3 linked regions of the Daphnia pulex genome follow. The protein of the gene in region 1 purifies or fractionates together with the protein of each later gene. This does not show direct contact. Links are inferred from orthologs where the notes say so. Each region holds a gene or a part of one and is shown on either strand. Other genes may lie near its edges.

Evidence for each region. The genes of interacting proteins can lie anywhere in the genome.
Region 2: the proteins of cell division cycle protein 27 homolog (region 1) and ubiquitin-conjugating enzyme E2 S-like purify together in Homo sapiens (affinity purification with western blotting; 4 studies listed by BioGRID, with this or other methods). This does not show direct contact. The link is inferred for Daphnia pulex from reciprocal best matches to the Homo sapiens genes CDC27 and UBE2S.
Region 3: the proteins of cell division cycle protein 27 homolog (region 1) and anaphase-promoting complex subunit 7-like purify together in Homo sapiens (affinity purification with western blotting; 23 studies listed by BioGRID and IntAct, with this or other methods). This does not show direct contact. The link is inferred for Daphnia pulex from reciprocal best matches to the Homo sapiens genes CDC27 and ANAPC7.

The regions. Positions count from the first base shown.
Region 1 is NC_060018.1:4,689,263-4,693,603, forward strand, and holds the start of cell division cycle protein 27 homolog, read right to left. Parts: upstream 2,981-4,341; 5' UTR 2,782-2,980; coding exon 2,758-2,781; intron 2,624-2,757; coding exon 2,548-2,623; intron 2,487-2,547; coding exon 2,339-2,486; intron 2,282-2,338; coding exon 1,841-2,281; intron 1,751-1,840; coding exon 1,571-1,750; intron 1,515-1,570; coding exon 1,388-1,514; intron 1,314-1,387; coding exon 1,171-1,313; intron 1,103-1,170; coding exon 656-1,102; intron 589-655; coding exon 235-588; intron 174-234; coding exon 1-173. Other genes in the region: MPN domain-containing protein-like, read left to right, coding at 3,446-3,598, 3,668-3,817, 3,897-4,043, 4,116-4,339. UniProt on the Homo sapiens protein: Component of the anaphase promoting complex/cyclosome (APC/C), a cell cycle-regulated E3 ubiquitin ligase that controls progression through mitosis and the G1 phase of the cell cycle.
Region 2 is NC_060023.1:8,631,750-8,635,329, forward strand, and holds ubiquitin-conjugating enzyme E2 S-like, read right to left. Parts: upstream 2,128-3,580; 5' UTR 1,966-2,127; coding exon 1,957-1,965; intron 1,879-1,956; coding exon 1,734-1,878; intron 1,664-1,733; coding exon 1,473-1,663; intron 1,415-1,472; coding exon 1,271-1,414; intron 1,210-1,270; coding exon 1,063-1,209; 3' UTR 755-1,062; downstream 1-754. Other genes in the region: uncharacterized protein LOC124197881, read right to left, coding at 1-281, 386-457; ADP-ribosylation factor-like protein 6-interacting protein 1, read left to right, coding at 2,434-2,463, 2,529-2,662, 2,725-2,858, 2,921-3,024, 3,101-3,185, 3,253-3,383. UniProt on the Homo sapiens protein: Accepts ubiquitin from the E1 complex and catalyzes its covalent attachment to other proteins. Catalyzes 'Lys-11'-linked polyubiquitination.
Region 3 is NC_060017.1:4,025,436-4,029,785, reverse strand, and holds the start of anaphase-promoting complex subunit 7-like, read right to left. Parts: upstream 3,055-4,350; 5' UTR 2,878-3,054; coding exon 2,812-2,877; intron 2,509-2,811; coding exon 2,292-2,508; intron 2,227-2,291; coding exon 1,935-2,226; intron 1,856-1,934; coding exon 1,672-1,855; intron 1,610-1,671; coding exon 1,472-1,609; intron 1,405-1,471; coding exon 1,339-1,404; intron 1,269-1,338; coding exon 1,165-1,268; intron 1,036-1,164; coding exon 891-1,035; intron 796-890; coding exon 717-795; intron 655-716; coding exon 605-654; intron 541-604; coding exon 395-540; intron 308-394; coding exon 187-307; intron 125-186; coding exon 50-124; 3' UTR 1-49. Other genes in the region: myb-like protein K, read right to left, coding at 3,320-3,942, 4,056-4,350. UniProt on the Homo sapiens protein: Component of the anaphase promoting complex/cyclosome (APC/C), a cell cycle-regulated E3 ubiquitin ligase that controls progression through mitosis and the G1 phase of the cell cycle.

The DNA of each region.
Region 1 (4,341 bases):
GTGCTGAATTGAGCATTTGAAGTGCCTTATCGGTCCTTTGAAGCGCATGTTCCACAATGGCGACGTGGCATTTTAGCACTGGACTGTTTTTATTGATATCCAGTGCCTTCTTGAAGTAAAATTCTGCCATCGAATAGCGCTCTTGTTTGTAGTAAATTATTCCCATACCGTACCTTTTCACAAACAAAAAGTTAGAACAAATCAATTAATGCTGCTTTGTTAAAGAAGGTTTACCATCCGTTATAATGAATAGGATCAACTCTCACAGCATTTTTAAAGCAATCCATGGCTTTCTCCGTTTCTTCGAGGGCAAGATACTGATGACCCAAAAGAGTGTATGCATAAGCAAATTTAGGATCAACTTGGATTGCTCGTTGGAAAAACTTTAGAGCTTGTTCGCGATCTTTCTGCAAATCCAAGCAATTTCCGGCACAACACCAAGTCGCAGCTGACATTTTGTCTTGTTCCAGCATGTCTTGTGCTAATGCCGAGAGTGACACTTCTTGCTGCAGATGCCAGAGAGCAGTACTATAATACTCCATCAGATCAGTGCGATATGGCTCCATTTCACGCACTTCTTGAAACAACCTTAATAATTAAAAAATATCTGTCAATTTCCTGTCAAACTGTTACACAAGATAAAAGTAAAACTAACCTAGTAGCTTGCTTGTAGTCTGCCAGTTCAAAGTAAGCTTTAGCCATAAGAGAGAGGACCCAGCTTGATCTTTTGTGGCGTGCGGAGAGCCATTCTATTGTGTCAATCGCTTGACGAGACTCATATGAAGTCAGGTGTGAAAATGCTTTGCCTACAATCCGAAGAAGAGACATAAGTCCTTCAGCTGACTGCTTTTGCATTTGGACTGCCTCTTGAATCAAATTTGATGGTGGAGTCTGCACCGAAGTTAAATGAGTAGGTAGGGTAGCTTGTTTCTCATCCTCTCTATCCATTTTTCCTACTAGCTCTGGAAAATCGCTAATAGGTGCTAATCCGCTTTCCGGGGTATCACCTTTAGTAAGTTTGGATTTGCTACGCTTCAGTGGCAACTTGGGCACAACAAAACGAGAGCTACTTTTGTTATTCTCCTTAACGGAATTGTTCGAACTGTGATCAAAATAGAATACGTTAATTAATAATATACGAATTTATATATACACAAATGTTACTGAAACCTGTAAAGTCGTGTACTTCTCCTCACGTTAGCGGCTGGGGGTGAAGACAATGTCGGTGTAGCTGTATTTCCGGATTGGCAGAAAACTCCCATACGTGAAGGCGCGCTTGGAGCAGTGCTAGCTGCTTCACGACGACCACCCAACTAAAAACAGCATAAGCATTTGGAGAGATTATGAAACACTCTATATTATTTGTTTAAAAGGAAAAAAATCATACCCGTTTAGGCATTATCTTTGCTTCTTTTGTTTCAGAGACCGGTGGGGCTAGCGAGGGACACAAATAGACCATCGAACTTTGAGAAGCATCGCTTGCTGAAGACATATCCAAAGGTATGATGCCAAAACTAAATTACGTAAATTAAATAAAGTGTCATCAAGTGAATGGAAACTTAAATTATACTTGGGGGACATGGGAGACAGCGCTTGACCGGCTTTAAAGACTGATCGAAGCCGGAACGACCGTGCTCTGGAACGTGTTGGAGCCATGGTACTCGTCAACGGTATAGAGGGAATCATTTGATCATCTGGTGTCAAATTAGGTATATTGTGATGAATAAGAGGCACACATGGTAGGGGAGTGCTAGAAATATAGTAAAATACACAAGTTGTGTAAAGAAATGGTGATTAAATCTCAAAATAATTTGTGTTTTAAATAATATGCCATGTTTACCTTGTGTTTACTATAACATCAGCTGCAGGGACTTGAAGTATAGGAGTGGAGATTTGGTCAACAGACATTGGTTCATGAGGATGTACTTTAGTGGTTGCATCATGTGATTGATTGATCTGAGCAGTGATCAATGAAGCTATTGGGTTTGTTCCATGACAATGAGAGAAATTATCCAATCCCTCTAACTGAAAGACATCTTCTGCATCTGGTTTTTCACCAAGCCGACAAAGAAGCTCAAAAGCAGCCCACAGGAATGGATTAAGCTTAAGAGCTCTGTTGAGTACTTCTATAGCTTTGAACTTTCGTTCTGTCTGCATGTAAACTTGACCCAACAAAACTAGGGCAAAAGCAGCAGCATCTCCAAATTCAGTCACAACATCATCCAAAGATTTTTGTTTGAAAATATTTCCACCCATCAATGTTCCTTCTGCTTCAGCAAGCCTAAAAAAAAACACATTCTTTAGATTTTAATTATTTTCAATGAGAATAACCACATACTTATTCAGATCTAAACAACATTTGGCTAACAGATATTGACATTGTGGCGACTGAGTTCCTTTTGATTGCAGTAAACTTCTTGCTTGATTCGCTTTTCCTGACCGATAGTAGCAAGTGGCCAGAAGATACAAGCTTTCCTCATTATTAACTGAAAGAAACATAAGATTTATGGAAAAATAACCTTTACAAATTAAGTATACACATAATACTTTCATCCTGAAGTTTCTCAGCAAGAAAAGTAGCATTCCAATAGTTGTAGTGATTAAGACAATGCCAGATAGCCGCCTGCATTTTAGAAAAATTTAACCATTATTGAAAATGAACCAAAAACTGGCATACAAAGAAACCCCCTTCATTGTACACCCTAAATATATGCAATTTTTAGATCACTAAACATCATTGATTAACATGTTACTAACCTGGACAGGTTCTTGTACCAACATGTTGACTAGTAATGAGTTAACATATGAAATCTATGAAGATATACAATCAAGTTTGAATTCCCATGGACGGAAATCAATTTAAGTCAAAATAATTCCACCAAATTGCCGTCGGAGCTTACGTTTTAATGTAACACAAAGTTTTTTTTGCCCCTTCCTCTTTTTAACCAAACCGTTTCGAGTATCGCTGTATCGCCTTCACTAAGTATCGATCAATCTACGATATTCGATGAATTGATTCAAATCGTGATGCTTCAGTTTTGACATTTTTTGACATTTCAACGGTCAGTTTTATCAATCTTATTATTAAACCGCACTTGGACAATTTGCTTTCGAAATTGTCAACAAGTTATTTATTCAGGTAAATTTAAGTGTTGCAATGTATTAACTACTGTCATTTGGCCTAGATTGTTCGAAATAACGTGGTTGTAATTGTAATTATGGTACTGGAATAGGTAAATCAGACGTTTTTTTAATAACAATTAATAAAAAAGGCGCGTAATTCTAAAATATGAATTTTTAGTTAAGTGTTTTTTAGTTCTTCTAATAGTCCTTTTTTCAATTAATCTACTTCAAATAAACAAATATTTTTCAAATTTAATTCTTTTTAGTTGTAAACCTTTTGTTTAGCAATATTAAAGCTGTGTTCTTAATACAGGGCATAAGCATGATTGAAGCATCAGAAGACTCAAGTATTAGTGATCAAGCAGATCCTCAAGAACAACAAAAGATCACATCAGTTAGTGTTGAACACACAAATGAGCAATGTAACATGTCTGAAACCCACAATGCAACATTAGATCCTGAAATGGAAGGAGAGGTAATTAATTAATAATACTTTGTGCTATTAAAATTCCAATGAATAACAATTTTATGACAAAAATTACAGGATAACATGGATGGCAATGAAGATGAAGAACTGAATGAGAAAAAGTCCAAAACTGCTGGTGGATTTACTGGTAGAGGAGTCACATTGCAAATGTTACTTGAAGATAACATCCTTCAACCAAAAGAAGGTGCTATGTCACTAGAGTACATGGTAAACATTATACGATATTTCTTTTAGATTTCTTATCTTCCAAGTTTAAAACTTCTATTCCCTATGTGAATTTATTTAGGGACAAAAATTTAATGGGGACTTACTGGCAGATGGAAAAATTTTTTCTGCTGAAGTTCAAGAAGTCTTTAGTTCACCCTCGGCGTGGGCCTTGCGCTGCAAAAAAATTGTTAATCCCGAACAGAAATATGGTTGTGGTTGGTCATCAGTAAGCATAAAATATGTTTAAATTCTCGTTATCAAGTTCAGTAAATTTAGTTCAGATTTTTAAATGATGTAGGTACGATATTGTGGCAGGCCTTTGGATGTATATAAAAACCAATGGATGCGTAAACGACGTTTAGAACAGGTTAGCGACAACTCGACTCCTGATGATTGTAATTTGTCCACTAATGAGCCTGTACTGCTGGAACCTGAACCAGTAATTCAAATGAGTATGAAACAAACTGTCGGTGATCGACAAATTATAAAGCACGAAACGCTAGGAAACAGGACAAGTATCGAGT
Region 2 (3,580 bases), on another chromosome or scaffold:
TTCTTTCTCCTGAAAACCAATGGCGGGGCCAGGAGCTTGGTCAGGAGCACCAATGGGGTCAGGATAACGAAGAAAGTAGAAACGATGCCCAGGACGAGAAAAACGACCACCTCGGCTGTGGATTTCTGCGACATGACGTCGAACCATTTTCGTTCCAAACTGATTCCTGTGCGGAGCAATTTCGACAAATATGTCGTTTGGTGTGTCATCTTCTTCACTTTCTCAGAGTCAGGAGTTGGCGAGCCGAATGTTCTCTTGACGCGAACTGCTGTTGAATTTTTCTGAAAAATGTTAAATGGGAAAGTCACAATTTGAGTGGAGGTTTTTGAACTTGGATCAATGACCTTCTACGAACCAAACAGCAATCGGCCGTTTCAAATGTTACCTCGATTAACTCGGTGTCGTCTTCGCAAACAGTCCATGTCACGAACAAAATTAAAATGATTAAAAGTCGCATAGTGGGAACGTAGAGACTGGTTCAAACTGTACACAACCGAAGGTGCAGGTCAAATGAGGTTGTGAGTGAGGTTGGTGTGGTCCTGCTAAAGGTGGTGCAAGGTCGTTACTCCCAAGATAATTGCACTCGCCAAATTACCTTCCGAGTGAGTAACCTGGGGTTAAGGGATTTATAATAGATTCAGGGAAACGAACCATTAAAGTGCGATTCCAAGAAAATCTTAAACGTTCACAGCAAATCAATAATTAAATGTAACCTGTGATAACTTACTAAAGGTAAAAATATGAGTTGAATGGGTTATCAGCAAATTTTTTTATATTTCCTTCGACCTCACACGACTGAAAAATCAGCATAAAATTAAGAGAAAGAAAAGGAAACTGAATCAACACTCTCCTCCCTTCCGCGAGTGTAAAAACTAGACATGGATAGATTTGCTCGTTAAATAACGCGCACTGCATAGAAGTGCGGGAACGAAACAATTCAAATGGTATGGGAGATGGAGAATTATGGAGTTTATCGCTGAGAAAGACTACGGATATTTTCAAACCGTTGCTAGATGTGAAGCAAGAAGAAACAGAGAAAAAGGCATTTATGTACAGTGACGCTCATAATCTCTTCAATGTTCTCTTTTTGTCCTTGGCCACTGGCTTTTTCTTATCCGCCAAAACTGTGCGATCAGTAGCAGCTTTTTTCGATGCTGTAGGGCCTTCCGTTGGGTTGTTGTCTTCATTCAAGTGGGCATCCGCGTTCGACTTCAATCAAGGAATGAAAATGAAATAAATACAGTAAGTTGGTAAATTTGGTTTTGTTTACCTGATTTTGACTAACTTTGGCATGAATTTCAGTCATCATTTTTGCTCTTTGAAAGTAATCTTCATAATGCTCTAATAAGAGCTTGCCAGCCTCTTCATTCAAAGCCGACTCTGCATTGGGGACAATTAGCAAACATTTGATAGTCTAAAAAAGAGATTTTAGGTTAGTTGTGAAATAGAATTGAACTCTTAAATAGTCGCACCAGAAATATATGTTTGATACCCAGATCAGGCTTCCAATCTTTCTTCAAGGTGTTGACACAAATTTCGCCTTGTTGCGAGACATTGGGATGAAATATTTTGGTTAAAAAGAAACCTTTCGGAGGACCAGAGGGGAAATCTTTTCCTAGCACTAATTTTACTCTAAAATGTCCACTAGCATATGGGGTACCAGCTGATTGTGGGGGAAATGATTTAAAATGATTTAATTTTAGGCTTTATTTTTAAATGAGAATTACTCTTACCAGGTCCATCAATAATGGCTTGAATATCAGATATGTCTTCTTCATTGAGAATAACTTTGATGCCTTCAGGTGGATCACTAATAAGCTGTTGAAGTTCCTTGCAAATTTGGCGACTAACTTGAGGTGCCAAGTTTTCAAACGAAACCTAGATTAAACGGTTCAAAATGGGCGCAACTTTAAAGTCTAAAATTGCAAGCTGTAACTCAATTTTCTAAAAACTTACTGAAGCCATGAGGGTTAAAAACAAAAGAGCAGAAAAGTGATATGTTCACGAAACAGAAAACGGAAGAGTAAATTTGAAAAGAATTTTGATACGACCGTTAGAACGGTTAGAATTTGGACAATATCAGGAAATTTTGGCCTCAGAGTTCAGAGACAACAAGAATACAAGATGCACACCGTTGCCGAAATGGGTACCAATTTAAAAAAAACGTATTCGAAAAATTTATTTATTTTTTTTATGATTTTAAAATAAAAACATTTTCTTTCGACATGAATTGGTTTTTATTCGTGAAAAATCTGCGTTGAATTTCAAGTAATTTGCAACTCGCGAGTTTCACATTCTATTTTCAAGGTCCTTGTCAACGTTGCGTGTGAGTCACGAACCTTTCTCACATGCCATAATATTTATTCTATTTTTTTATACGTGCCGTCTCGGGCTCTTGGTTTCTTAAAACTGTCTAATATAATAGGTTTCAAAATGCCTGATATCCTTCTTGTATCCGACCAGGTGACTATTTTCGTTTGTTTGCAGCACACTAAACCCATTGTTTATGTTTTTCTGCCCAATTTCAGGAAAAGAGGATAAAATCTCTAAAACGGCGTATTGAAACCTGGCGTGTTTTTCTCGTTGCCTTGTATTCTGTCCTCATATGGACTGAATCCTGGTACCCTGCACCTATTGTTGGAACCATTAGCACTGTATTTCTGTAGGTTCTATATTTTTAAAAATTTTTCCTGTGACATGATAAAGTTTCTGTTCGTTTATTAGGATGTACTGGTATTGGAATCCTCCAATCATCACCTCCGTATCTCTATTTTTTCTGATACTCAGTTTGATTGATTACAGTGTTCCTAGAATATGTAGCTGTATATCACAACCTCATCAATGGACAGCATTGAATGGTATACATTCTTCATCTCATTTTCTTACTTGATCAAAAGGTAACTTGATCATTTCTCCATAGAGAAAAAGTTTGAGATAATCTGTGAAACTCTGGTGAAAACTCAAGATAAAATTTACAACCAGATGACATATTTTATTGATCTCAAAAGGACAAATCCTAAAATGGTGATTTCTTTAATTGATACAGTGCATAGATTTTGATATTTTTAAATGTAACCTGTTGTTATGTTTTATCTTCCAGTATTTCTTGTCACTCTTTTCATTCTGCAGTCTTTCAGCTTGGATTGGTTATACAGTCAACAATTGGCTCATTTGTTTTATTCTTGGTATGTAATATTATTAATTAAAACTATTTAGTATTCTGAATTGTAATCAGCATTTTGATTGTTATAGTCACACTCATCTCATTGTATCCTGGCGTCAAACACAACGAAGTACTATCAAAATTTCTGTCGATATTCCTACACCGAGTCACCAATGGCATCCGATCGTATACAGAAAAGGATTCCGTTAAAAATAAGTAAATGGGAACTTGATGAGTCTCAAAGTCAGAGTTTGTGTCTCTACTATCTTAGGTTTTTAAATCACGATTGGGGCTTTTTTTTAATGGTATTTTGGCATACTAGTCTTTGATTTCTGTGCTTGAATGTTCAATCAAGATAATTCTCTTTGTTCGTTTTGTTTCCTAGTTTTCTTAAGTTCAAACTGGAGCAACGAACTT
Region 3 (4,350 bases), on another chromosome or scaffold:
TTTTTGTAGAAAATGTATTTTTGAGTGATTGTACAAATAAATCATGAAACTACCGAAATTGATCCAAGTTCATGTCGGCCCACATTCCACCCATAGGATCGATGTCGACTTCTTCAATGGTTGGCTTGAAAACGATAGCTTTTAACATATGCATATATTTTGTTTTTCACTTTAAATTGAATTTACCTCTTCATCAGAATCAGGAAGATCATCAGCTTCCAAATCCAGATGATTTTCTAGTTTAGCTACCAATGCGTTTTCAAGCCTATTGATGGCCTCAATGGTTTTTACGTTATTCGGTTCAAGCCTAAAATTACAAAGAAAAAAATTAAACACATGCATAGTATGTGAATATGCAAGTTAAAGTAAAATCAAGTGATAAAGATTCTCGTACATTAGTGCAGAATTGTACTGTTCCAATGCTTTATCCATATCTCCATTTTTTATGAATAGGTCTCCCAAAATATGATGTAACCTGTTTGTAGGTTGCTGATTTATTTGCTTAGTAAGCAGTTCAATGGCTTTTGATCTCTGGCCAGCCTGAAAATAATTGTAGTCAATGGTAGTTCAGTGAGTGGTTCTGTAGGATTGTACAGCTACTCACCTGCTCATACGAGTCGATTAAAAGGAATACAGCTGGAGTGTATCGAGGATCTACAACGGAAAACGTTATACAATTTTTTTTTTACACCGGAAACTATTCATGTTAATTTTACCCATGTTCAAAGCTCTTTCAAGGAAAACCTTGCCCTTTGCGGTTGTAACAGGATCCTTCAACAGGACGGATGCGTAGAGCTGCAAAGAGCAGTCAGCAATTTAATTAATGGCTCATTTGATAAAAATCTGCTTTAAACGAATGATTAACACGAAACACTGTAAAGAATGCTAACCGTGAAAGTGCGAGGTGTATGACCAATATGATGAAGAGAGCTAGCAGCTATATTCATGGCTTCTCGACTTCGCTGAAGCGCTAGATAACAGTGAACTATACCACGATAGATTTCGAATCGGTGCGGAGCTGTCTGTAATCCTTCCCTATTATCATGTTAAACTTGTTGTTAATATTACTATAATTTTTTTTTAAATATTACTAAAATTTAAAAAATATCTCAATAATTAAAAAATATATTTCAATAATTTTTTTTTAAACATCACAGGACTTACCTAAAATGTGTGATAGCTTCAGGCCATTTTTTAAGCTCTTGTAAAATCGTACCCTTAAGGATTAGGGGCTCTATCCCAGGGGTTGGAATGCAACATGTGCAAGCCTATGAGAAATATGTTTGCGCGGTTTTTAAAACTATTTGTAATAAGACCACATCGGCATTGCTATCTTACTTTATGCGCAAGGTACAGAGCGCGAGTTAGTTTGCGTGACAAAAGATAATGGTATCCCATGGCCACCTAATTTGATAAATTAAAATTAATACAGGAACAAGGGTAATTAGAAATAAAAAACAAATAATTTTACCCACGATTCGAAGCTAGAATCAGAAACAGAGATTAGCTTGAGAGCTAGTGCTTCAAGTTCAACACTTTTCTTTTCATTCGCTAAAATGACTGCTAAAATATCCATTCCTTTTAGCGACAAAGGATCGAGGGAATGCGCCTGAACAAACGCAAATATGAGATGAGCACCAGATATTTTTTTTCTCAAATCATTTAACATACTCGTTGAAGCGGTAGAAGGGCGCCCGCTCCATCCCCGGCCAAGAAAAGGGTTGTTCCTTGTGATACCAAATTTGTTACATCATCTTTGAGCAATGATGCATCTTGCAAATGGCAAAAAATGGTAGAAGCACTCAAATATTCACAAGAATGAAGATGGCACTGTCCTTTGATCCACTGAACAACCCTTCAGAATTTAAGGGAAAAAAACGAAAATAAACATTATTCAACAAAGATTTACATTTTATACATATGAGCCTACTCACCAATCTAAGTTATTTGATGGGTTTCCATTAAAAATTAAACGAACAAGTTCAACATAACTAACTCCAAGTTTAATCAAAGCCAATATAGCTTCTAGGGCCAAAGGACATTCACGAATAACCTCTTTAAAAGCAGAAATGGCTGGGCGTTCAAGCCCATTCATAACATACAACTTGCCTAAAGCCATATTAACCCTAACTGATCGTAGTTTGGCTGGGATCCCTTGAAGGACAAGAAGTGCTTGCACTGACTGTTTTAAAGCAAGGTGGCATATGTGCATTTGATAGCGAATCTCTAGAATTGTTATTTCAAACTTATTTAGGAAAAACTTGTTTATACTTTAAAACAGAACATCAAACCTGTTTCAGCTGAAAGCTCTTTGGCAGCACTATTTCCCATCCCCCTTTGTTTAGAAAGGGTTTTTCTCAGATCTAGGGCTTTTCTGTAATAAACTTCTGCTTTTCCATATTCCTTTTGTTCAAGGAATGAATCTGCAAGGTACACCATTGTTTGGGCAATGCTTGCAGGAGGTAAAAGCTCAGGATTGTTATCAGTAGCTGAAAGAACCATTGGAGCCTGTAGAAAAATTCCAGATATTCATTAGATTGGTAATTAGCATAGACTACACTACTTCGTAGTCTATGGTAATAGAATGAAATCTACACTGAACTCATTCCTATTGTCATACTCAAGGTAAAAGTCACCAGTAGCACTTATTCAAAATGGAATAATATGAGTTGTAGGAGTAGATACTACTGCCCAAACAAAAATATAAATGATATAACTAAAACATTTGTTAATATTTATAGCATTGCAATACAATGGTGACATTTAGCTATCGATAACATTCACGGAAAGCACAAGAAACTATATAGTTACCAGAGCAACAATATTTGTATAAAGTTTGTTATCAAACAACATTTGAATTTGCTCGTGAAGAATCATAATGACTAACTCTGAAAGTAATATATATACTCAAAGAGAAGAAAAAAACTATAACACAAACTTGATCAGCAGTCACCAATAAGAAAATCACAATATAAAGTGGTAAAGTGCAGAGAAGGGTTGGAAACGCGTAAAGTGCGGGATTATCGGTACGGAGAGACAACAAACAGCGTAGGCCTACCGGCGCACCAGCGTACTGAATGCTGAATCTACTAATTTCGTTAAAATTATTTAAAAAATTAAATTATTATCTAATCAAATTCAACATTCAGTAACAACATTCAATATTTTACTAACGTAAAACAATGTATATTTATTTTATTCCTTCCTCGACGAGAAACAGGAAAGAGAGATGCAAATAAAATTAAGTGGACGCTTTAATTTAGGGAGCAAAGTGTGGGAACATAAATATAAGAATAAAGTTATTAAAGGGAGGACGATGTTAGAACATGAACGGATTCATCATCGCCATTTGCTGTCGAAGCATCATCATTTGTTGCTGTCGTTGAAGCAAGAGCATTTGCTGCTGATGCATCATTTGTACGGCCTGAACGCTCATTGCCGCATTGCTCCCGAACGATGAATAAGGTAGACCACCGGCGACCATTGATCTATTGGGATCGGTGTAGTATCCTTGGCGGTTGGGGTTGCTTGAAGAGGCCAGATTGGCCAAACCCAAGAGTTGAATCAACGTCTGGTATCGTTGCAATTCCTGTTGGCTTCTGCTCGGCTGCTGCGCCAGGCTCATCTGAGAGAAGCCCAACTGTCCTTGCTGGGCCAACGGATTGACCATCATGGCAGCTTCCTGTTTCGTCACCGTCTGCTTGATTTGTTCCCAAAGCTGAGGACGCTTAGCCGGAGGCTCGTTCAGAAGCTGGGCCATCAGGATTTGTTGTTTGTTAAATTGCTGAGCTTCCGGTTTCACCTGCTGCTGGAGTACCTGCTGCTGGACCAAGAGCTGCTGCTTTTGCGCTTCCAGGTTCTGTTGAAGTTGCTGCAACTGTGGATTGAGCGCCGCTTGCATCACAGCACCAGGTTGGTGGCCGTTCACCATATTACTCTGATCTATAAATGCAAGAATGAAGGAAAAACAAGATAGAGGTCAATCAACTGATCAAACGGTTCTTAATGGCGTGAACGGAATTCGACTGTCATTTGTGTGTCACACGCATACATACTTGTTATGGCTGCCTGTGCTGTTGCAATCTGGTCTTGCTTGATGTGAACCGAAGCTAATAGACCCTGCTGTTGTTTTTGGTTCTGCAAATGGAAGTTTTCCTGTTTCTGTGCCTCCAGTTCGGAGGCTATGGACATGGGGTTGTTGTTGGAGTTGGTCATTTGCTGCAGGAGGGCCAATTGCTGAAGAGGACTTTGCATTCCGGCCGCGCTTCCACCGCTCAGCCCAGTGGCTCCTGTCGGCACGTTCGCATTGAACTGGCGACTTTTGACATTGGACGACTTTTCGGCAGGAGA